Linked DNA regions of Ovis aries. The protein of the gene in region 2 interacts with the protein of the main gene of each other region in a biochemical or structural test. Links are inferred from orthologs where the notes say so. Each region holds a gene or a part of one and is shown on either strand. Other genes may lie near its edges.

The links.
Region 1: the proteins of PDGFRA (region 2) and PDGFB form a complex in vitro, tested with the Homo sapiens proteins (3 studies listed by BioGRID). The link is inferred for Ovis aries from reciprocal best matches to the Homo sapiens genes PDGFRA and PDGFB.
Region 3: the proteins of PDGFRA (region 2) and PDGFA form a complex in vitro, tested with the Homo sapiens proteins (2 studies listed by BioGRID). The link is inferred for Ovis aries from reciprocal best matches to the Homo sapiens genes PDGFRA and PDGFA.

Annotation. Positions count from the first base shown.
Region 1 is NC_056056.1:216,500,939-216,508,376, forward strand, and holds the start of PDGFB (platelet-derived growth factor subunit B), read right to left. Parts: upstream 4,264-7,438; 5' UTR 4,249-4,263; coding exon 4,186-4,248; intron 2,637-4,185; exon of another isoform or gene 2,272-2,636; intron 1-2,271. UniProt on the Homo sapiens protein: Growth factor that plays an essential role in the regulation of embryonic development, cell proliferation, cell migration, survival and chemotaxis. Potent mitogen for cells of mesenchymal origin.
Region 2 is NC_056059.1:70,433,119-70,440,520, forward strand, and holds the start of PDGFRA (platelet-derived growth factor receptor alpha), read left to right. Parts: upstream 1-2,993; 5' UTR 2,994-3,062; intron 3,063-4,528; 5' UTR 4,529-4,744; intron 4,745-6,022; exon of another isoform or gene 6,023-7,374; intron 7,375-7,402. UniProt on the Homo sapiens protein: Tyrosine-protein kinase that acts as a cell-surface receptor for PDGFA, PDGFB and PDGFC and plays an essential role in the regulation of embryonic development, cell proliferation, survival and chemotaxis.
Region 3 is NC_056077.1:42,365,477-42,373,040, reverse strand, and holds the start of PDGFA (platelet-derived growth factor subunit A), read right to left. Parts: upstream 3,920-7,564; 5' UTR 2,209-3,919; intron 1,631-2,208; exon of another isoform or gene 1,520-1,630; 5' UTR 1,387-1,519; coding exon 1,315-1,386; intron 1,125-1,314; exon of another isoform or gene 833-1,124; intron 471-832; exon of another isoform or gene 301-470; intron 10-300; exon of another isoform or gene 1-9.

The DNA.
Region 1 (7,438 bases), on a different chromosome or scaffold from region 2:
GCCAGCCTCCTCGGGAGCCAAAGCAAACAGCCTCCTCCCCACCCCACCCCACCCCACCCCCAACGCCAGCTGCAGAGGTAGGAAGGGCACGAGCTGGCTGAGGCCAGGTGAATTACCTGCTCCCAGTCAGGCTGGCAGATTAAAGGGGCTTGGACCCCACCCTCTGCCTGGGCCTCAGCGCTCGCACACAGATACACACTCCCCAGGCTGCCTGAAGTTCCGCTGTGGGAGACGACAAGGGCTTGGCCCAAGCAACCAGGGGCGTTGTCAGTGGCTGGCAGAGGAAGAAGGCCTTGGAGCACCCGCCTGCCTGAGAGTCTCGGGCCTGATTTAGATTCGATGCCAAAGCCAAGCCCTTTGAAGAAGCCTTCTCTGGGCAGACCATAGAAGCCTTTTAGAACCAGCCATTCCCACCAGCATTTCCCTGCCCTATTGCTCCTGGGACCCTCCCTCTCCCCCATCCTTATTACGGTTAGCCCAGCCCCCACCCCCACCAGCTACCCCAGTGGGCTCCCTCCTCTCCTTCCAGCAGAAAAACTGTTAGACGGGAGAGAGAGGCCAGAGCAGCAATTACAATCCTGGCAGTCCACCGCAATCACTGCCCCCAGCCACCACCACCACCCTGATCCCAACTCCCAGCATCCAGTGGGGCCCAGGAATTTGCATTTTCAAGAGACCAGGTAATTCTGCTGCTCTTGAGAAACTGAGCTAATCTAGTCTTCTCTCTCTCTCTCTCTCGCGCGCGCTTTTAGATGGTGGAAACTGAGGCCCAGCTCAAAACACCCAGAACTATTTGTGATCTCACTTTGCTTCTGTTTCTTCCCCTCTGTCCAGTCCAGTCTTGGCAGTCTAAGTCCCAAGACACGGAAAAGAAAGATGCTTGTCTTTCAAGACTGGGGGATGCTGCGGGGGACTCGAAGATGTCTGCTGGAGGGCAGGAGAGCTGTACTGGGCTGCCCTGGGTGAGGACGGAATGAGGCCGTGTTTATAAAGCACTTAGCAAGCCTGAGATACACGTCCGGTCCTTCCCTCCCCCCTTCAAGGATTCACTGTCCTCTCCACAAATATTTACAGATTATCCATCATGGCCAGGCACCATTCTAAGCAGGGGAGACAGTGGTGACCAAGACAAAAGCTGTCTAGTGGAGTTTACACTCCAGTGAGGAAAAATGGGTAAGAAACAACCAAATAAATCAGAAAATGAAGATAATTGCACTAGACGGGGTACTTCAATGGAGAAGAGGGGGTGGTGAGGGAAGATTCTGAGACGGTCTTAGGAGGTCCATGGCAAGTTATTTCTTTTCTACTTCTGCTGAATCAATCTTTCTCACACACACACACATACACACACACAGTTCCTAGGTCTTGCACCAGAGCCTTCAAATTCTGTTTGATCCTAAGCTTGCAGACACTTCTAGGGTTGGGAGATTCCAGCAAGTCAGTCTCCCACTAAGTAAGAGCATTAGCAAATAAGAAAGAAGCTGGGTGATGAAGGTCTGTGGGCCCTTCACTTCTTCTTGGCAGAAGGGTGCTGAGGCCAGAGGCATCACATGATGATGAGTGTCACCCTCCCGGAAGCCAGCTCAGCTAATGGAGATGAGACCTTATGGACTTCAGCCGACCCTCAACCAGGCCCCACCTCAGAGCTCCCTACTCTTCCTTCCCAACTGCTGGCATACAGGGGACAGGACCAACCTCAAGGCTACCTCCACCAGGAAGCCCTCCTGGATTGGCTCCCATGTCACTGGGTTTTCCCTTTTCCCTTTAGGTCTCCTCCCTCAGAGCCTCCTGAGGCTTACTCAGGCTCTGCAGGAAAGTGCTTCATAAACTGCAAAGCACGACACAACCGTGAGTTCCTGAAGACTACGTTCAAGGATGCTGTGATTCAAGTGAGGAGAGAGGCACCAGCTTCCTGGCCAGAGCCTCCGCACCAAGCACACACCCCCATGGAGTTGTGGAACAGGAGGAGGAGGTGCTGGATGAAGCTGGAAATGGAAAGGGCAGGCCTGCAGAGGCCTTTTCCAGCTGTCACCCAGCCTCCCCAGAGCCGGCTGGGGAGGGAAAGACGACTGAGCCGGCAGGGATGGGAAACCCCCTCAAGCGGTTCAGGGCCCACAGTCTTGGCTGGAGGTTCAAAGCTGGGCCTATGTGAAGGGAGAAGTGCTCTGGACATCACAACGGCCCCAGTCACACAACATCTTTTTCGGCCACCTGAGGATGGTTTGAAAAAGCAGCTACAGAGGGGTCATGCTTGAGGGGCGTGGGGCTGACCTGGCAAGGCAAAAACCAGCGCGTGCCGTGGAGCCGGACCCTGACGGGAGGGTTCCTGTTTCCATCCCCTCATCGGACCCAGGAAGGAAATGGGGTGGCTGCAGAGGTGACCAGGTTCCAGGGCCACCTGTTGCGCGGGGGAGGGAACCTGGTACAGGGTGGGTATACGAGCCCTGCGTGCCTGTGTGCGTGCGTGGGTGTGCGCGCACGTGTGCTGAAGCTGCGTGTTCGGGGGCCGTGCGTACGTGTGTATGCGGTGCGCGCGCGTGTGCCCCGCGTGTGCACGGGCGTGGCGGCGGCGGCGGGCGCGCGACCCGGCCGCGGTAGTGCGTGCCCGTCGCTTTGCGCACCCGCCCGCCCGCCGGAGCGCAGCATCGCCTCCGGCCAAGAGTGTGCATGCGTGGGGTGAGTGAGCGCGAGTCGGGGGGCCGGGCGGGGTGGGCTGCGGAGAGCAGAGGCGGGGGCGCTGCCGCGGTTCCCAGGACGCCCTGGCACCGGGCCCAGCCCCCCAGGCCCCGCGGCGAGGCAAGGCGGCAGCTGGGGCCGGCCGGCGCCCCCCTCCCCAACAGCTGGCCGCGGCCCGGGGGGCTGCGGGAGCGGAGAGGAGGGGACGTCGGGAGGGGCCTGCAGGCGGTCGGGCCGAGCCCCGCGTCCTCCCTCCCGGGTGCTGCCGCCGGGGTGGGGGGGGGGGGGCGGGTGGCCGCGGAAGGGCGGGGCCCCAGGGCGGGCGGCCGGCGGCCCTCGAGGAGCCCCGAGAACAAAAGGAGACGGCGACGGCTCCTCCGTGGTCAAAACAACCTGCGCTGGCGGCGGCCCAAGGCCCGGCCGCGGCCTCGGAGCTCTTCACCTTAACCCCTTCGCCGCCGCCGCCTCCTTCCTGCGCCTCGTCGGAGGCCGAGAGCGGCCGGTCCTCCCCCCGGGAGCGGGCGAGGTGCGGGCTCCCGGCCGCGGCCGAGCGTTGGCGGGACGGGACCCAGGAGCGGCGCGCGGCCCGCCGCCCTCTCCTCCCCGGCACCTCGCGCCTCCTCCCTGCCCCGCCCCCTTTCCCACCTGGATTCCGGGTAGACTTGCCAACTCACTGCTACGTGAGGCTGGGAGGGGTGCGGGGGACCCGTACGATCTGATAGCTCCCGCAGACGTTTCCCTATCCCAGCTTCCTTGCTGCGGGGCTTTTCGAGGCGGCGCGCTCCGCACCCTGCGGTCGGGGGAAGAGAGGTGCGTCCTCTCGCAGGGTGCGGGCGCAGGTATGGCGCGGCCTCAGGCACACACCGCCACCGGGGCTGGATTCCCTACAAGCCCCTGCTCCGCCCCTCAGGCCAGGTGCCCCAAACCTCTCACTGCACCCACCGCGCCCGTAGACTGCAAGCGGCTCCGACACTGCACTCTGGGGCCGGGCAAGACCTGCACGGCCCGATGGGCACCCGCCCCGACCGGGAGCAGGAGCCGGGGTAGTTCGCAGACCCCCGCCGAAGCTTGGTGTGGCTGCCACCCGTGCGCGAGCTCGCACCTCCAGGGCAAACCGGGTCCTGGGCAGGACCTAAGCTTAACCGAAGTGGGCTCTCGAGGACGCGCTGCCTGCTGCCTAGGCAGCACCCCACCCCTCTCGCTTGGGCTAGGAAGGGGCTTATTCTCGGGTTCCTGGAGGGGTGGGGGACAGGACCACACACACCTCCTCCCCTGACGCTTAAAAGATCGGAGATCTGAGATCCCCCCAGGGAAAAGAAAGCCACGGCTGCCCCTCCCCTTAGAGCCTAGCACTCCCGGACCTCGCTTTGCAGCCTTCGGAGGTCACCTCACGCCCGCCGCCAAGCCCACGGGTCCAAAGTTCACTGCAGCGAAGGGAGGGGGCGATCGGGAGGCAGGGATGGGGGTAATGAATGAAGCGAAGCAGCCCCAGCCGCCGTCGCAACTCACCTCGGCGCTGACCAGACGCAGGTAGCAGCAGAGAGACAGGAAGAGCGCCCAGCAGCGATTCATGCCGACTCCGGGCCCGGCCCCGCGGGGCCCCGGACGCGTGGACCGAGCGCGCCGCCCCCGCGGCCAGGGTGGGGGGCGGGGGCTGGGGAGGGAGGTGGGCTCTGCTCGGGTCTGCGGCGATCAGGCTCTCAGGCCGCTGCAGCCGCCGCCACGGCTCACCCGCATGGCCCCCGGGCGCCGCCGCCCCCAGCCCGGGCTCCGTCGTTGGGGGGTTGGGGAGGGCCTGGGCGCGGGACCAGGGTCCGAGGCCGCTACCTGGGCGGATCCCGAGCCCGAGCGAGCATCCACGGCCGGAGGGCTGCGTCGCGAACCAGCCGAGGCTTCTAGCCGTGTGGGGGCGCCCAGGGGACTCCAACCTCCAAGAGGAAAAAGAACACGGCAGTCGATGGTTCGTCTTCACTCGCCGGCTAAAGGCGTTTTCCTCTGCCCGCTGGCTTAGCTTTTTTGCAACATTTTCTGGAAAGGTCCCTGAAGTCGGAAAGCGCAAAGCTGGACACCTCAAAGCCAAAGTCTCCCCAAAAAAACTTTTTCCAAAGTTGGTTCTGCAGCGGCGGCTCGAGTACCCGGGCAGGGAGAGGTGCAAACTCCCGCCCGGGCCGGGTGGGGGGGGCCGGAGCGTGTGCGCCCTGGCGCGGGGCCCGGGCGGCGGGCACGGCTGCTCCGCGCGCGCGGCGTGTCCGCTGCGCCCTGGGCCGCGCCCGGCAGACAGGTGGACGCGGCGCGAGTCTGTCGGTCCGTCTGCCCGCCCTCTCGCCGCTCTGGACGTCCTCTGCGGGCTGCGAGCTGCGGCTGCTCCGGCTTTCTCTTTGCAACGAGGCTGGAGGGTGGGTTGTCTTTTTTTTTTTTTCCCCTTTTTTGCGCGTGTGTGTCTGTGTGTGCGCGCAAAATATCTCTATCTGGGGAATGAAAGATGGGCGCTGGCGGCCAGAGGGGAGCCCTCGGGGAGGCAGCGGGGGAGGCTGCGGGCGCACGGGGAGGCAGGAGGAGAAGTTGCCACCCTTTCAGCTGTTCCGGCCTTTATAAAGGAGACGGGAGAGTGCGAGAGGTGGGTGGAGACAGCTTTTCCTCTTCTGGCCGAGAGTCAGTAACGGGAGGGTGGGGAGAGCTCCAGGAGGGCCTGAGGCGAGGAGGGGGAACTTAGGGGTCTCCGAAAGCCCCGCCGCCCGTCTGCCCAGGAATCTGGTCCCTGGCAAGGGAGAACTAGGGGCCATCAAACGCTGGGCCCCTCAGCAGTGTCTGTGGCCTGGTTTCTGGCCCATGTGGTTGGGGGCCAGGGTGTCTCCCAAGCCGCTGGCTTGCAGGATTCCAAGGCGATACCTCCAAGACCGGCGGTTTGCGCCCTAGCCCAGGCGTGGTGCTGAAGGACTCAGGCTCTGCAATCCTGCCTGGCGCTGAGTAGCTGGGTCACCTTGGGCAAGTCACTTCCTCTCTGTGCTCCTCCATCTCGCCTCAAAGTGGGGTGGGTGGACTGTGAGGACTTAGTGCCTGGAGAGAGCAAAAGTACCCAGCCCCAAACCAGGCACAAGGTGATCACACAAACCCTGCAGCCGAAAGCCTCACACGCTCCTCTCCTCCTAGCCGGTTGCCTGGCACACAACAGGCGCTGCCAGCATTGGCTGAATTTGAATTTGTTGAGCTGCAAAGTCACACAAACCCCACAACCCTGCAGCATCCTTGTAGGGTCGCCATCATGCTCCTCCAATTGCCCTGATGTTTACTACCTCCCTCAGCCCCCAGGTTGGAGGCCGCCGGCCCCCCCCCACGCCAGCATTCATACAGTTAACGCCTTCCGCCCCCCTAGCTCCGGGAGCTGCTATGTCCCTGCCTTCAGCAGTCACACGGTCACAGTCACAGAGTCACACGCCCACACGAGCCCAGCACCCCACCATGAGGCCCGCAGGCTCACCGCATCGCCCAGCTCCTGGCTTGAGGACACCTTTATCTGGTCTCGTTGTGATGTCTTTGTTGTCTGCCCTTTGTACCCAAACATCCCTCTGGGGTGGCAGCCTGCTCCTCACATGTGCACACACCCTTCTGAGAGACGCACCCACCGTCTCTTCCTAGATTGTCTTCTTGGGCCTGAGTGAGCAGGGGCGGTGAGGAGGGAGGACATCTCTACAGACCACCACATGCTCCCACCCTCTTCCCATTACCGCCAAGGCAGCTTGGCCGGGGACAGGTCATCTTGGTTCAAATACTGGCGTGGCCACTTGCTGACCAAGTGTCTCTGGGAAGTCTAACTTCTCAGTCCCTCGATTTCCTTCCCTATCTCAAAACTGGAGAGAAATCTACAATTGGAGGGAGGGAGGGATTTCCAAGAAGCATGGGACATTTTGGGGATGGGGGGTGGAAACATTTGTCGTCTTGGCTGGGTGTGATGAATTCACAAGTATTCACATATATCCAGACCGATAAGTGCTTTATTGGAGCTCAAGACAGTTGTAGAAGAATTGTTATCTACTTCATAGAGTGGTCTGGAGGCACAGATAAAATAATCCATGTGGAAGCACAGAGCAGGATGCCTGGTACATGGAATGCATCATTCCTTCAACACAGTCCCCCGGTGGCCAGGCACCGTCCGGCCACTGGGGAGACGGCTTGGTGCTGATACTGCTCTGGAAGAACCCCATGTGGAAGGACAGACAGAGGCGTGAACAGATTAATTAGGAGACAGGGTGACAAGGGGGACAGGGTGGGGAAGATGAGAAGATAATCCCCAAACCCAAGATTTGAAGTCTGCAGACTTAGAGATAAAACCCTGCTGCACTGGACAGCTAGGTGAACTTGACCTTGACCTTCTGTATCCTTCTTTATAACTGACAATAGCTACTGTTATGACTGAGGTGTCCTTATGGCTGGTAGTGTTCTTCTTACTCTGCATATGATCTTCAATGCTCCAGGGAGATATGTTTGCTCCTGTCTTATACATGGAGTCAGTGAAGCAAGGTCACATAACCACAGAGTTCAAGGTCACATATCAGTGGAGTCAGAACTTGAATTCAGGTCATCCAGCTGCTGCGCTCACACATTTGCTTAAACCACCATGCTGGGCAGGTGATGGCGATGACTGCAACGGCACTTCTTACACAGGGCTTTGATGAGCTTCAAACACACAAACACCAAACAAAACACACCAAATCAAACACACAAACCCCTGCAAAAGCACCTTGCCAACTGAGAATGCTGTACC
Region 2 (7,402 bases):
AAGCTCCTCTCAGGCCAGGCTGGAGATCCCAGTTGTACACATTCTGGAGAGTTCGGGGGTGGGGTGGGGTGGGGTTCTGTGACCCACGACTCAAGAGGTCTGCCTTCTTTAACCTTCTTCATAATAGTCTCATGAAAATAATGAGTGTTATTCTAATGGGGCCCCTCTCAATAGCCAGCAGTGAGGCTGCAGCGGTTGGGGTGGGGAGCACTGGTAGCTAGACAAGAGTACTGTAGCAAATTCCTTCATGGCAAAGACCATATCCATTCTGTTTGCTACCGTAACCCTAATGCCTATTAGAGAGCTAGACACAAAGCGTATGCTCATTAAATGTTTTTTCAATCAATGAATCAACTGTTTCTCTCTCACTTTTTTTTTTTTTTTTGCAGGGGTGGTAGGGGGGGGGTGGCGTTCACATGGCTTGGATCTTAGCTCCCTGACCAAGAATTGAAACTGGTCCCACAGAAGTGGAAGTGCTGAGTCCTAACCACTGGACCACCAGCACGCCTGTCAAGTTGCTCAGTCGTTTCCGACTCTTTGTGACCCTATGGACTGCAGCCAGCCAGGCTTATCTGTCCATGGGGATTCTCCAGGCAAGAATACTCGAGTGGTTCCCCTGCCCTCCTCCAGGGGATTGTCCCGATCCAGGGATCAAACCTGTGTCTCTTATGTCTCCTGCAATGGCAGGTGGGTTCTTTACCACTAGTGCCACCCAGGAAGGCAAACCAGGGAATTCCATGAATCAATTCTCTAAAGTGGAGAGCAAACTCTGACTGGCACATGCCATCGTTTTTTTTAACTTACTTAAATTAAAAATATATACATTATAGTTTATTTACAATGTTGTGTTAGTTTTAGATGTGCCATAAGCTTTAATGAATTGAAAAACTGAAAGAGAAACTTCCAAAATCAAGGTTGGAGGATGTCTGGTGGAGGAAGGTGACTGTGTGTTAGATGCAGGCATGGCACACGTTGACCTACCAAGTGCATCCTCTCAAAGTCCGGGTGCCTGGTGCACAAGCTTACAAGACACCCCAGAAGCTCCCCCACGGATTCTCACCACAGGTTCCCCGAAACTGAGGCCTCAGCATCCCTTCTTCCTGACTTTCTTACAGATCCTCTCTTGGAGGTGTCAGGCCTGTCTTCTCATTCTGGCTGCTTGTTCTGGTCCTTCCTGGCTCCCTGCTGCCTTCTGGCCTAGGACCCAGTTTTTGAGAGGGCCTGAGACATTGATGGGTAATAGCTAGGAATCAAGATGCCCCTGTCCCACCTTTAATTGAGACCATGAACTAGAAAACTAGACTGGCATTCACCCAATTCTTGAGGCCAATCCAGGGGAAGCAGGGACCTGGAGAGGAGTATGTCAGTGACTGTGCCTGAGAAAGAGAAACTTTATCCAGTGCCTTCCTGGGCTTCTCCTGCCTCATATTGTTTAACCGTCTCAACAATCTGGGGACAAAGTGCAGACATGCCAATTCATACAGACGAGGAGACTGAGGCTCAGAGATGTGACCTGTCTTGACTAGATCACACTGGAACTGGAACCCAGGACATGGTTAGGCAGAAACTGGCACTGCTGTGCACTAACTGCTTAACCCCTCTGACTTTGTTTGCTCATCTGTTAATTGGGGGTAATCATGCACAACCCACAGGGTTGTTCGGGGGATTAAATAAAATAATACCCTGATTAAATAATGTGGCTCACACTCAAACTTCTGTACTATAATTAATGTAGTTGCAGATCCCAGGTTCCACTGGCTTTGCACCGCACAGTTTCTGCTGGAAGCCTTTTGCTTTTTTTTTTTTTTTTAAACATCATTAGCCCTTGCCTTACTCCTGGGACTTCCTGAGGACAAGGCCCTTTCTTCAGTCAAGCTGACCTAAACAGAGCCAGCCCTCCTGCCCCTCCCAAGCCACAGCTGTGAGTTGGAAAGCTGGATGCTGAGGCCCCTAATAAAGAGCAGACCTCCCAATCTCCTCGATCCCTCCCTCTCCCCTCACACGGCTTTCAAATTAAAAGTAACTAAAAGCTAAAGGTCTAACAGAAGGAGAGGGGAGTAGGTGGTGCAAAACCCTCTCCATATTGAGAAAGCCGTGCTCTCTCCCTAGGAAGAGGGTATCCAAGAATCCAGACCCAGGGGGGGTCTAGTCCCACCATGTCTTTCTCAGCTCTGGGGAGCTTAGTCCTTCCCTGGGCTCGTCAGAGTGGGAAACAGAGCTCACAGTCTATGGTCCTCGGGTCACAAAGCAGGCTCAAGTGTTTGGAACCCTAGCCCTAGCAGAGGCGCGGCTGGTCTCCAGCCACGGGGAATGGCTTTGGACTTCTCTTTGGAGACAAAGCTTTGAAGAGAAAGCCTCTAAGAACCCAGAAGAGACGCTGCACCCTTAGTCAGCCACCAGCAAGAAGATGAGGTGTTTAGGGGGACCCAGAGAGAACTGTCGCCCCAAGTTACACGAGCCTGTCTGGACCCTCTTTCTCCTCTTTTAATAAGACTTGGGCCTCTGTATTCTGAGCTGCAGAGACTAGAGCAAGCTTCCAAACCTCAGCTGGGGCAGACCCGAGGCAAGGGCGGGAACCCCACCATCCGCAAGCTTCCTCGGAGCCTTCCTCACTAAGGTCCCTTGCCGGCCCAGGGAGGTGTCTCTTGCAGGCTCAGACAAGAATTGAAAGAGGGTGGGAAATGGGACAGTTAGCGCCTCCCTCCGCCCCCCAGCCACCAAATGGCCCTTTATTTTCAATTCAGAAAGTTAGGGGGGAAAAAAAAAAAGCTAGAAGTGCGTCCCTCCCTCACCACAAACCCCCAACTTCATTTGAAAGGACCAACTGCGACTTGGCTTAAAGGTGATTTTCGCTACTATCGTCTTTGATAACTGCTGTAATCAGAGGTCTTCCAAAGCCCAAGTACCTTCTGAATTCTCCGAGGAAAGTAGAACTGGGGGGTGGAGCTGGAGCGCCGGGAAGAAGGAGAAGAGAAACAGAAAGCCAACTCAGCGGGGAAACGCCCACGAAACTCAAAGGTGTGACCCGGGGCTGCTGCCCGTCGCGGTCGCCCGGGAGTTGGGTAGGCGAGCCGGGGAGAGATTTTGGTTTTGTTTTCAGGGATCATTTGGATTTGGTTTTAAAAACTTCGGGTGGGGGGCTCTTTTTGATGGCTGGCTCTGCTCCATCTCTTGCTTCCAATTTCATTGTCGCCTGAGGGCCTAGATGCGCAAGGCCACGCCAGAACACCACGCTCCCCTAACTTCCCCTAACGTGGCTCATCTCTCGAGTTGGGCCTCCTTCCCAGAGGGTCGCAGCCGCCTCGACTGCGGGTTTGAGGGAAAAACCCTCATTCGTAATTCCATGATGATCTCTCAAGGGAAAAACACAAGAGGTGAAAATCAAAATCCGGGTTGAGGCTGGGACATTCGCTCAAGTACCCAAGCCGGCGAGGGTCACTCCTCCGGGAGCTCAGGGTGGTGGGTCCCCCGCAACGCCCCGGGCAGAAGCAGACAGAGAAGAGACCTCTCAGTTCGCCTCGGCCAGGAGGCATTTCTTGCCCGCTGCGGCTCCTGGACCACCCAGGACCCCGGGCATCGAGGGAGCAATCTGAAAGGATCTTAGAACAACACTGGGAGAGGGAAACTCGGCTCGCCCCACCTCTCCGCGACGCCCCTGTTGACAGACGCGCGCAGTCAATCCGCTGAACCTCGGCGGAGGGCGGACGGCAAGATTCAAACCCGCCTATGAGCAGTGGGAGGGGCGGGTGGGCAGAACTCATTTTAAGGAGCTAACCGCCTCTTTTTGTGGGCCTCCAGCCCCGAGGTTGCTCCCGACTAGTGGGTTTATTTTGCTTTTGCTGGGGAGGCAGATGTTGACCTCCCTCTATCTGCTCGGCCCAGGCTCGGGGAAATCTCCCAACCATTTGCTTCCCTTGCGCCACCCCCCACCGGTGTTCCATCCCCGGAGTCAGCTCCCCAGGCCTTTAAACCTTCTGGAATGTCACACATGGAAACCTTTAGCAAATGTTTGTTAATGATCATAACAAAGGCATCATTCAAATTAGGCAGGTAATTACTACCAGAAGGACGACTGAGTGCTTCCTTGCTCATCCGTTCTCTCTGTTTTAAACTCGCGAGGAGTTATGGCCCGAAGACACCCCGGCCCAGTCCACTTTTCGGGTCCCTTTAAGCGTCTCTGAAAGGAACTGTGAAGTTACCATTTGTGGGCGGGGAGAGCAGAGGCCTGCGTCCCGGAGATCCCGGCTTGACCAGGCTGGCAATGTCGTAGCAGCAAAGTAGGCCTTACTGGGTAGGCCCTGCGCCCTGCCTCGCCTCCTACCCTCTCGAGTCCGTGGTATAAAAATTTGCATCTCAGCTGGATTTTATTATTAGCATGAAATCCAGCACCCGCTTTCCCCCTATTATTCCGCACTCCGATTTTGGGGGGTTCTTTAGTCCCCGTTCGTTATCTACAAACATTACGGTATCCTGTTAGCATTCCGAACAAGGGGCTGTTCATATATTTGCCTTCAATGATTTCCTGAAGGAACATGTGGAAGTAATAGTGAGCAGTGCAGTCATCCGAACTGAAGATGCACGGGAGGCGGTTGCGCAGAAGGACTGGAGGAATGAGGCCCCTAGCCCAGCCTCAGGCGTCTTCACGAACCTGACACCCCAGGAGCCGGTCGCAGTTCCATACAGCACCCCTTCGAGTACTTCTCTGTGAACATCCCCTGCAGGCTGCTCCGTGTCCACTCTCTAAGTAAGGGAGAAGGTGATGGCTGTCCCACATTCCAGCCTAAACCAGGCCGCCCTGGCCACTGTCAAGTGTGTGTGTGGGGGGGGGGGGGGGGGGCAGAGTCGGGGGTGGTGGTAAAGGTTGAGCCCTCCACCCAACAAGAGAATTCGAAATTAGAGGAGGTGGGGAAGGCAATCGCGCTCCCCTCCCCCGCCCTCGCTGGGAAGCCCCACTCTGCCCAGGTCTGGTTCCTGGAGCGTCAGCGCCCCCTTTCTTTCGCGAGCAGGATCGCCCTCTCCCGGCTTAGTCTCCTGCCTGGGGCCCCAGGGCTAGGGTTGGGGGCTCCCTTCTTATCCCTAGTGTACCCGTACGGCCCGATCCACGCGTCGGGAGAGGGTGTGGGGAGAGTCAAATTGTACCCTCCCCCTGAACGCGGAGGTAGCAGGCTGGTTGTAGAAGATTCCGCAGACGATCAAGCCTGAGCCTTTTTGTGTGCGTGATAGAAGCCAGGACAACCTCGCCCAGATAACCATGAAAACAAAGGCAAGACAAGATAAGTGCTTTAAGAGAGTAAAGGTCGTTCTGTCGGAGAAAGTTCCAAACCTACGGCAGACCCTCAACTCTTTGTACCCTACTTCAAATCTGTCTTTGGACAAAATCAAACCAAAGCAAACCCCCTGCCCGCCCAAGAAAAAAAACCACCCATCATCTTCATATTAGACTCAACAGCTTGCCTAATCCCATTAAAGGATTAGCAACTATACGGCACTTTCCCTAAAAGACCCCAGGTTCAAGTCGACGCAACGGCTCGGAGACCTCTCCCGACGGCCGGGATTCTGGGTGGGTTAGGGGTTTCTACAGAAGGGACACTTCTTGACTCCAGATTTATATTCTCTTTGGGCATTAACTGCAATTTTACGTGTTCCTTTTCTTCCTTTCAAAGAAAATACAAAGCAACATAGCAGTGTAGGAAATTGTCCCCCGAAATCAAGAGGCAAACTCATTTTGGAAATGATGGGCAGTATGTATTTTCACGAACCTCTTTCTCGGCAGAGCATCAACACCTCCCCCTCCCCCCCACCCCATCTGGTCGGCTTCTCTCCGCCCCCCAGTTGTTGTCGAAGTCTGGGGGTTGGGGCTGGACCCCCTGATTGCGTAAGAGCGAAAAGCGAAGGAGCAATCTGGAGGCTGGAAGATTCAGAGCGCACGGAGTTCGAGGGAAACTCTTATTTTGAAGAGGCCAAGGGGAGGGGGGGGCTTCATTTCCTGACAGCTATTTACTTAGAGCAAATGATTAGTTTTAGAAGGATGGACTATAACATTGAATCAATTACAAAACGCGGTTTTTGAGCCCATTACAGTTGGAGCTAGAGGGAGAGAAACAGAGGAGGGGACTGCAGGAGAGGGCTGCAGGCCGTGGACACACTTTTTCCTCCTCATGTAGGATTTTCATTGCGAATTGACATTGGAGGAGAAGGTAAGGGAGGAGAAAAAGTATTTTTGTTTCTAAAAGAAATCCCTAATCAGGCTCTTTGGGCTAGAAGTGAAGTAACTTCAAACTTTGGGCGATGAAAAAAAAAAATTGGAGTCGAATTCTAGTTGTATGTCCAGAGAGTAATTTATTCTGAATAAACTTCACTTGGAGGGAAGATAACCATAGAGTTCGAAAGTCTAGGGGTTTAAAAAAACACATTTTCCAGACCTATTTTTAAAAGCAGTATTTTTCTAACAACTCTATGGCCTCCCAAAGAAATTGTTGAGGCTTACATTTTTGAGGTTTCTTTTGGGGGTTGGGGGTGATATTCCTGTATCCTGGGACGAGCACCAAGCAGTGCTGGGAGTGGGGGCAGAGGTGTTTGCCCTCTTCTTGGCATGGAGTCCTGGAAGGCTACAGGTTTTTAATGAGTATTTTCATTCCTCGCCCGCGGTTTGGCGGGACAGCACTGTAGCCGGCGGTGTGGAGCGCGACTGGTGGACCGAGGGAGGTGGGGAGAGACGAACGCCGAGTGGGGAGCGGAAGGGGTTGAGGGGAGGGGAGGCGTGAAGGGCTCGGCTGGAGAGGGCCGGACCTGGGGTGCCCATCGGGTGCACATGGCGCCGACCCAGGGCGCATAGTTACTGGAGGGTGCTGCGCCCGGTAAGGGCCAGACTCAGTACAACCTTGGCGGCTGCGAGACGAGCGGAGGGGGCGCCGATTTGGGCGAGGGTTTGGGGATCAGTGGTTTGCGGCAATCAGTGAACTGCGAGGGAGAGAGGGCGCCAGCCCCGCAGCGCGCTCGGATCGCGCGCTGTAGCGCGGGGGCGACGGCGGCGCGGGCTGGCGGGCAGGCAGGCGGTCTATGGAGTAATGACAAACACATTTGGCCCCGAGTGAAGAAGTCGTCGTCGCCTCGCATTCCAGCAACTGGGATTTGAGGAATTTCGAACTGCGCTCCTAGGGGCCCTCATTGTGCGCGGTGGTCTCCACCCCCAGCAATCTCTGCGCACCCCCATTCCTCGGTGGAACCGTTTTTGCCAAGCCCGGAGCTCTGCTGCTACCCAGTCCCAGCCGCAGGAAGGAAAGAAAGAAGGTCGCCAAAAAAAAAAAAAAAAAGTGGAGAACTTCTTGTGGGGGAAGTTAGGGACAACTCGGAACGGAGAAACTTGGTTCTCAGGTAAGACAGATATATGGGAGGCGAACCG
Region 3 (7,564 bases), on a different chromosome or scaffold from region 2:
AGCGAGTGCGGAGAGAGGCAGGCAGCGCCAGAGAGGAGGAGGAGCAGGGAGTGCGCGCTCGCCGCGCCCGCCGCGCCGGGAGCCTCCTGGGCCGCCGGGTAGGGGGTGGGGACGGAAGGGGCGGAGGGCGGGGGCTGGGCCTCTTCCTTGGTGCGTTCCCGGTGCTGGCCGCCGCCGCGCTCGCTCCCCGGCGCTGGCTCTAGGAGCGACCAGGCCGGTAATTCTGCATATTTGCGGGCGTCAGCCCCGAAAGGGACCCCGGAGCGAGGCTGGAGCCGCTGCCGCCGCACCACCCATCACCTGTCTGGACGCCCGGCCAGGCCCGGCGCGGGCTCGCGCTCTCCCTGCGGGCTGCGGGCGGCCCTGCGCGCCCACCAGCGGCCCCGCGCTCGCCTCCGGCCTCCTCTCGCCGCCGCCGCCGCCGCCCGGCCGGGCACGGCGCGGCCCAGCACGGCGCGGCCCGGCGGCCTGCGTGCGCCCCTCCGCGGCGCGCCCTCGGCTCCGGCGCAGCGCTCCGCCCTCCGCCCTCCGCCGGCCCGAGCCGGGCAGCGCCCGCGGCCGCTCCGCCTGGCAGCCGCCGCCCGCCCGGGGCCTCGCCGCGCGGGCCTGAGGGCCGAGCCGGGGCCGAGCCGGCGCCGCCGCCGCCGCCGCCGACAGAGAAGGAGGAGGAGGAGGCGGCGCGGGCAGGCCCGGCTCGCCGGAGTTGTGCGGGCTCCGCGGGGCGCGCGTGTGGAGCCGGCCGGCGGCGGGGAGGGGGTTATAGCGCCGCGGCGCGCCCCTCCCCCGCCCCCTCCCCCTCGCCTCCCCCGGATTCCGGGCCCCGGACCCGCACCTCGGAAGCGCGCGGGGGCCGAACGGGCCGGGCAGGGCCCCGCCGCGGCCGCAGTGAGCACACACACGCGCTCGCGCAGGCAGTAAAACCCATCAAGGCCCCGGGCCCGGCCCCGAGCACAGCCGCCGGGGCTCCGCGCGCTGCCCGTGGCTCCCCGGGCGCCCCTCCCTCGAGCTTGCCCACCCCCCAGTGCCAGCTGCAGCCCTGCAGCACCGGACGGGGAGGGGAGGAGGCGGCCGCAGAAGCGCCGCCGTCGCCGGCTCGCCTCTCTCGGGCCCCAGCGGCGGCAGAGGGCAGCGCCCAGAGCTGCTACGCCAAAAAGGGCAAAAGCGAGCCGGCCCCCGCCTCCCGCCCCCCGCCCTGGTGCTCCGGCCTCTGCACGGTTTGGATCCCGGGCCCCCGGCTCCCCCGCCATAAAAGGAGGGGGAGTGAGGCTCTGGTGAGAGGTGGGGCGGGTTTAGGGGCGCGTCTGGGACACTCACCTGGCGGCTGCCACGCGCCCCCGCCCGGAATCCGATGCCTGGGGCGTCTGAACGAGGAACCTCCACCCACATTCCGGGAGAGGAAGGCGCCCCGGTCGGAGGAGGGGGCTGCCGCGGGCCTCGTCCCCGCCCTGGGCTCCCGCACCCCCAAGTCCCCGCGCCCTCGTGGAAGGCCTGGCGGCGGTCTGAGCCAGAAACTCGAGGGCTGGAAGGGAGGAAAAGAAAAGAGCCGCTCGAGAGGAGCCCGGGAGTCTCAGCCTCCCGCGCCGGGATCCGCTGGGCGCACAGAGCGCCACCTCCGGCCGCGGCGCCGCACAGAGCGATGCGGGGGAGCGACGCGAGGAAGGCCGAGGCCTGAGCGGGGCTGGACGGCGCCCCCGCCACCGAAGGGCGGTGCGCCGAGCTGGGTCCCTCCCGCCTGCCTAAGCAGGTGGGACCGCACCCTGGCGACGGGTCTCTAGAAGGGCGGAGAAGCCCCCGGTATCAGGGCTAGAGGGGTAACGAGCCAAGTGACCCCGCAGCTAGACGGGAGGCCATTAAAGGCTAGGGACTGCGAGTGGCTGGGTGGGCTGCGGAAAGAGAACCTCGCTGGCCCGAGCCCTCCACCCCACACCCCCATCCTCCGGGTTGGGCCCCTGCCCCCGCCCAGGCTGCCCTCCAGCCAAAGGCAGTAAAGACACAACGCTCCAGGCCCTCTTTCATCCTTGGCTTCTTGGGCTCCAGCATTTCAAAGGCCGAGTCCAGTGGGCCCTCGGTGGGGGGCGGGGGGGGGGTCCCTCAGCTTCCCCCAGATTCCGGGGAGGAGGGGTGGGCCCCCCCTGGGATTCCCAGCGGGCAGGGTCTCCCAGCACTCAGTCCCCCAGCGCACCTGCCCCTCTCCGCTGCTAGCCTCACCTGCAGCCTCCCCCCCAAAGCACGCACTCGGGGCTTAGAAAGGAGGGTGAGGCAGAGCTCGGGAAGCCTTGGTACTGTCCTTGTCCACCTAAGTAGACCTCCCACTGCACTGGAGGGAGTCCGCTGAATGGTTTCCAGAAGGCGAAGAGCACACTGCTTGGACTCAGGCTGTTCCCCTGGCGGAGCCCAGAGATTTCCTGAGAGCTGACCGCATCACACCGGCTTGAGCGTCCAGTTCCTCACAGGCAGAGGGGACCTGAGGACCCACACGTCTTCAGGGCTGAAGGACTTGGTTTGATGGCGGGTGTGCGGATGAGGAAAGGTCACCTTGTATTGCAGGGGCTGGGGTGGGGGCCCTTCTGGCTCCAACCTCTGTACAGAGGTTCCCTAGGTCCTGGGGGCGGGGGCGGTCCCACCAGCTTTGAGCAAGTGATTCGCTCGGTGCCCCATCCCAGCCTGGAAATTCAGGGGCTCCCAGTTTGAGTTTGGGACAGAAATGTGGGTTTGGGGCAGAAGAGAAAAGATCTGGGAACATGGAATGGGGGCATCTTCTACGGGAGCCCAGGCCAAAGTTAGAGAGCAGGCGAGATTGGGGGGGGGGGAGGGGGCGCGCCAACGGAGGCATCCTTCTAATCTCTGGCGGCTATTAAAAATAAAACCTCGGCTCGTTGTCATAGCGACCACGACAACAGCGGCTGCCCAGGGTGGCACAAACTTGTGCAGCCGGTGACAGCCGCTTTTGGGGGAGACTCAGGGCAGACTCACACTGGTCCATCAAGGTCTGCCCTGCCACCAAGGACAGCCCTCCCCCACCCTCCCCCCTCCGAAAAAGCCGGCAAAAGTAGATCGCTAGCCGCTGTTTCCTAGACCTTGAATCGACTTGAGCAAGAATCAACAACCAGGACGGGAATCCACGCGTGCGGGGACTCCCCGACCCTGGCGCCTCTCTCCGAGGCCCCTTCCCCTTTCAGAGCCTGGCATCCTCATCTCTCGGGAAGGGGCTGAGTAGGGAGGCGGTTTCAGATGGAGGCTCGGCGGCGGGAGAGGGGACCCTGGGTCCCGAAGCCAGGCACGTGGGCGCTCCGGCACCTGCCCAGCCCGCCTGTCCTGCGATCCTGGCTGCTCAGGTGCGGTCACGTGCTCCTTTCTGCCCAGGAATCGAGTTTCACTTCCAGCCGCTATTAGGCGGTTCACACGGTTCACTGCAAACACTTGATAAAGAGGCTAAATATACACTCGAGTCGGAGGAGGCGTGGGCGGCCTCGCAGAGCGCAAGGGCGGGGCTCCGCGGGGCATCCCCGCCCAGGCCGAGAGTCCGGCTCGACCCCGACCAGTTCCCGGTTCCCGATGCTCCCACCCTAACCCCCCCGCCCCCCCACACACACAGCTGGGAGCCCAGGCCCAGGACACGCGGCCCTGGCAGGCTGTGGGCGCCCCTTGGCAGCCAACGGCTCCGAGGCGGAAGAAGGGGGCCCTGGGGGGGAGCTCCAGAGAGGGTAAGTGCTGGTGGGAGGTGAAGGCGCACCTGGCAGGCCGGGATGTCCGGTCGCCCCCGGAGCTGGTGCTTCCGGGCCATCTGCAGCGTCCCCGGCGGCGCGCCCCGACGTGTCGCGGACCCATAATTAAGGTGAGTCAGGTGCTACAAATAGGTGCAGAGAGGGACTCCCGGTGCATCCGGGTGGCTGCGCGTCTGCCCCTCGCTGGTTCTTCTGGGCACCGCCCATGACCCCCCCTCCCTCCCGCCACCCGCGGAGGGGCGGGAAGGGCCCGGCCGCTCCTGGAGAGCGGGACGCCTTTGTTAAGGACCTGAGGCCAGCCCAGGACCCTTCACCCTACAGCCCACCTCACCGCTCGTGCAGCGCTGGCCTGGGGCCTGGCACCAGCTGGCACTCCATTGCTGCTATCATCCTTTTATCTGTTTTTTTTTTTTTTTTTTTGCAGTGGGAGTCATGACTAACGTCCACTGGACGCCTCGGTTTCTGAGGGTTTCTGAGTGGCCCCTACGGGTGGAGAGCCGCCCCACCACCCCTCTTACAGATGCCAGGGAGTTGGGCACTGCCCACAGCCCCAGAGCGCAGCCCCAGACAGCCACTCCTGGGCCAGCTCTCCCAGTGCTGGGGGTGGGCGCTCTCTCAGGCCAGCTGGCCCTGCAGGTTTCAGAGGGACACGAAGGATGGCGCGGCCCCCTGGCAGTGAGGGCCTCAATTCCCCCGTCCCGAGAGGTGCTAGCTGCCTTCTGCCCCGTGACCTTGGCTTTGCTGGAGCACTTTGCCCCTGCCCTGCCTTGAATCTGTTCTCACATCTGAGGAGTAGGGGCCGGCAACCTTGCTGTGCACGGCTGTCTCCCACCACCCAGCCTCCTGCCCAGGGAGGCAATCGCCGCACACACGTGCCTGCAGGCCCTGGCACCCCAGGCTCGGGCACAGCTGCCTCCGCCTGGGTGGCCAGCTGGGCGTCCAGGCCCAGGTCTCTGCCCACTGCCAAAGCAGATCTCAGAACAATTTGTCATGACGAAACACCGTATTTCCCTTTATCTCTGGGCAAGGATTTCTTGGTTCAGGGCAATTAATCCAGGAGCAGCCTCAGCTGAGTGGGCAGCTCTCCTTGAAGATCAAAAGTGCCAGGCGGGTGTTAATTAAGTCATCATCTCAGCCGCCCCAGGCCCCGGTTCAGGATCAGGCCTTTCCAGTCCGGCCTCCCCATGCTCAGTGTTGGTTTTAACTCCCTATTAAATATTTTCCTTTTAAACACACAAACCGCAATGAGGTTTTACATAGCGTATGGGCCTACAATCATTCTGTGAATATTTTGTCAATGAAGACCTCTGGGAAGGGGCACTTGGGGGTTTCAGGAATTGAGGCCAGACCTGGTCTGTCTAGGATGGGAGCCCCCTGCCACGGGAGGCCACTGGGCATTTGAAACGTGGCTGGTATGTGCTGTTTGTGTAAAATGCACACGGCCTCCGAGACCTGGTATAGAGATAAAGAGTGTAAAAATGTTCACTAGTAAGTGTCACATTTGTTACCTGCTGAAAGGATAGCACTTTTGATACATGAAGTCAATAAACTGTTATTGCGACTGATCTCACCCATTTGTCGGTCCTGTGTTTAATGTGGTGGCTTTAGTGAGGTTTCTACTGGACAAGGCTGGTCTGGGCATCCGGAGTTCCTGTCTCCTCGGTGGAGCCAAGCCGGTGAGTATGAGTAGGGCAGGGGCGGGGCGGAAGTCCTGCCCTGGGAAGCCCGAAGCACCTGGAGACCAGAACACCCCGCAGCCTGCTCTGCCCACCACGCGTGCTTGCCTCGTCTGCCGTATGACCCTGAGCAAACCCTTCAGCATCTTGGCGCCTCCCCTCCTGCCTCTGGTAATAGCCAGCCCTGTGGGGCTGCTTTCGGAAACCCTCACTCACACAGCAGGTACTTCCGTGCTGGGCACAGGGCTGCAGCGCTGACACGATGCCCTCGCGGCGCCGGCAGTCTCTCCAGGGAGCAGCAAGCAAGTGGCCAGCGCCCGCGCTTCCAGGTCAGGGAGCTGGGGTGGTCAGGAAGGCCTGCTTCTGAAGGAGCCAGTGCCGAGATCAGGATGGAAGCTTCTAGGCAAAGGTCACACAGCCTACAGCAGCCTGTGCCAAGGCCTGGAAGCAGGAACCGGCGAGGCGTGTCGAGGACCAGCAGGAGGGCATGAGCTGGGACTGGTGGGCGGTGGGCAGGTCCCACAGACCTCGCGACCGTGTCAGGGTCGTGGGCTTGTTCTAGGGGGCAGAACCAACACATGCGGGGGCAGAAAGAGAAACCAGTCCCCCACAGCCGCCTGCCAACTGGCCAGGCCCCGGTGGCAGACCTCACCCCACCGTTGTCTTCAGGATTCATGGCCGAGTTCCTGCCTCTTAGACGTGAGCTCCAAGGTTCAAGTCTGGTGGTCACCTGGCTTGAACCCAGAGCCAACGCACTCCTCTTCCCCAGGGGCTGCTGGCGGCCCCATCCCTCTGTCCGGGCTGTGGATGGGGTGAGGAGTGTAGACAGCCTCCAGATTTGATGGGACTCAGCCCCCAGGGGGAGGCCGGAGTCTGGGGCTCACAGGTTGGTTGGGGAGAGGCATTGCTGGCTTCCCAGGCCTCCTAGAGGAGAGATGGTGAGAGCATGTCCCTCCAGAGAGACGGACTCACTGGATGGAAAGGTTTCCCGCGGGGAGGCCGGCACCTCCCGGAGCAGAGGCGCAAGCCCGACCAGCGCCCGCGGGGTCGGCAGGGAGGCGACCTTGGCTCACGGGCAGGGCGGGGGGAGGACATCAGAGTGCCCCAAAGAGGCAGAGTTGCGGGGTGAGCACCCATGCTCCCAGAACGAAGAGGCGCACAGGCTCTGAGCATGAAGAGGAAGGTCAGACGGCAGGGCGCCGGGATCGTCAGAACAGCATGGAGCGCGGGACAGACGGGCCGGGACACGCAGAGCCCGGAAAAGCTGAAGCGACTCCAGAGGAGGAAACAAGAGACGCTGAAAGTCCTGCACGCAGTGCCACTGGGGCAGGTTAGAGAAACTACCCGATTAAATCCTCACTTCTTGCCACGAAGTACATTTCAATGAATAAGAAATTAAGTTGGTAAGCAAACGTTTCGGAACAAACTTCACCATGTATGTCTTGGGGCAGGCCCCCGCCCTCCACTGCAGTGTTCTCACCAAAAGCATTGTCTTGAGGAGGGGAGGACACACCCAGGTTCAGAGAGACTCCAGCAGACACCTGCTCCTGACCCCTCGGAAACATCACCGCCGTGAAGAGAACACGGAGAGAGCTGGAGGTCACCGCAGCACCCAGTCCTGGACTGACTCCTCCGTCAAGAACAGCAAGTAGCTCGCGGGACGCAGCTGGGTCCGCGGGACAAACATTAGGTGACTGTACCCAGGTAAGACTCCTGGGTGTGGTGACGGTGTCACAGTGACGTGGGCAGACTCTGTTGTCCTTGGAGACCGTGGTACTGCTGCAGGTGAAGGGTCAGGATGCCAAAGCTTGTTCTCACGTGGTTCGGGGAGCAGGCAGTGGCGCTGACAGGTGATGGACAGACGCACGTGAGCACACACAGGAGGACGGAGCACGGGTCCCCGGGCGGAGACGGGGGGAGACGAGCGACGGGTGGCGGGCGGCTGGCTGGCGGCGCGCGGGCGGGGCGGTGGGCGGGCGCTGGATGCAGCTGAAGGGCGCTTGGCCGCTCATCGGGCCCTTCCTCCCACTTTTCCGAAAGGTCGAAATGTTCCAAGATGAAAGCTATGAGAAACCGCTAATTCCCGTTTCCTAGTTTTCCCGTAGTTGATCGAACTTCTGGAACGCAGAGGACTTTCAGAGCTCTAGAAGACACAGCACGAGT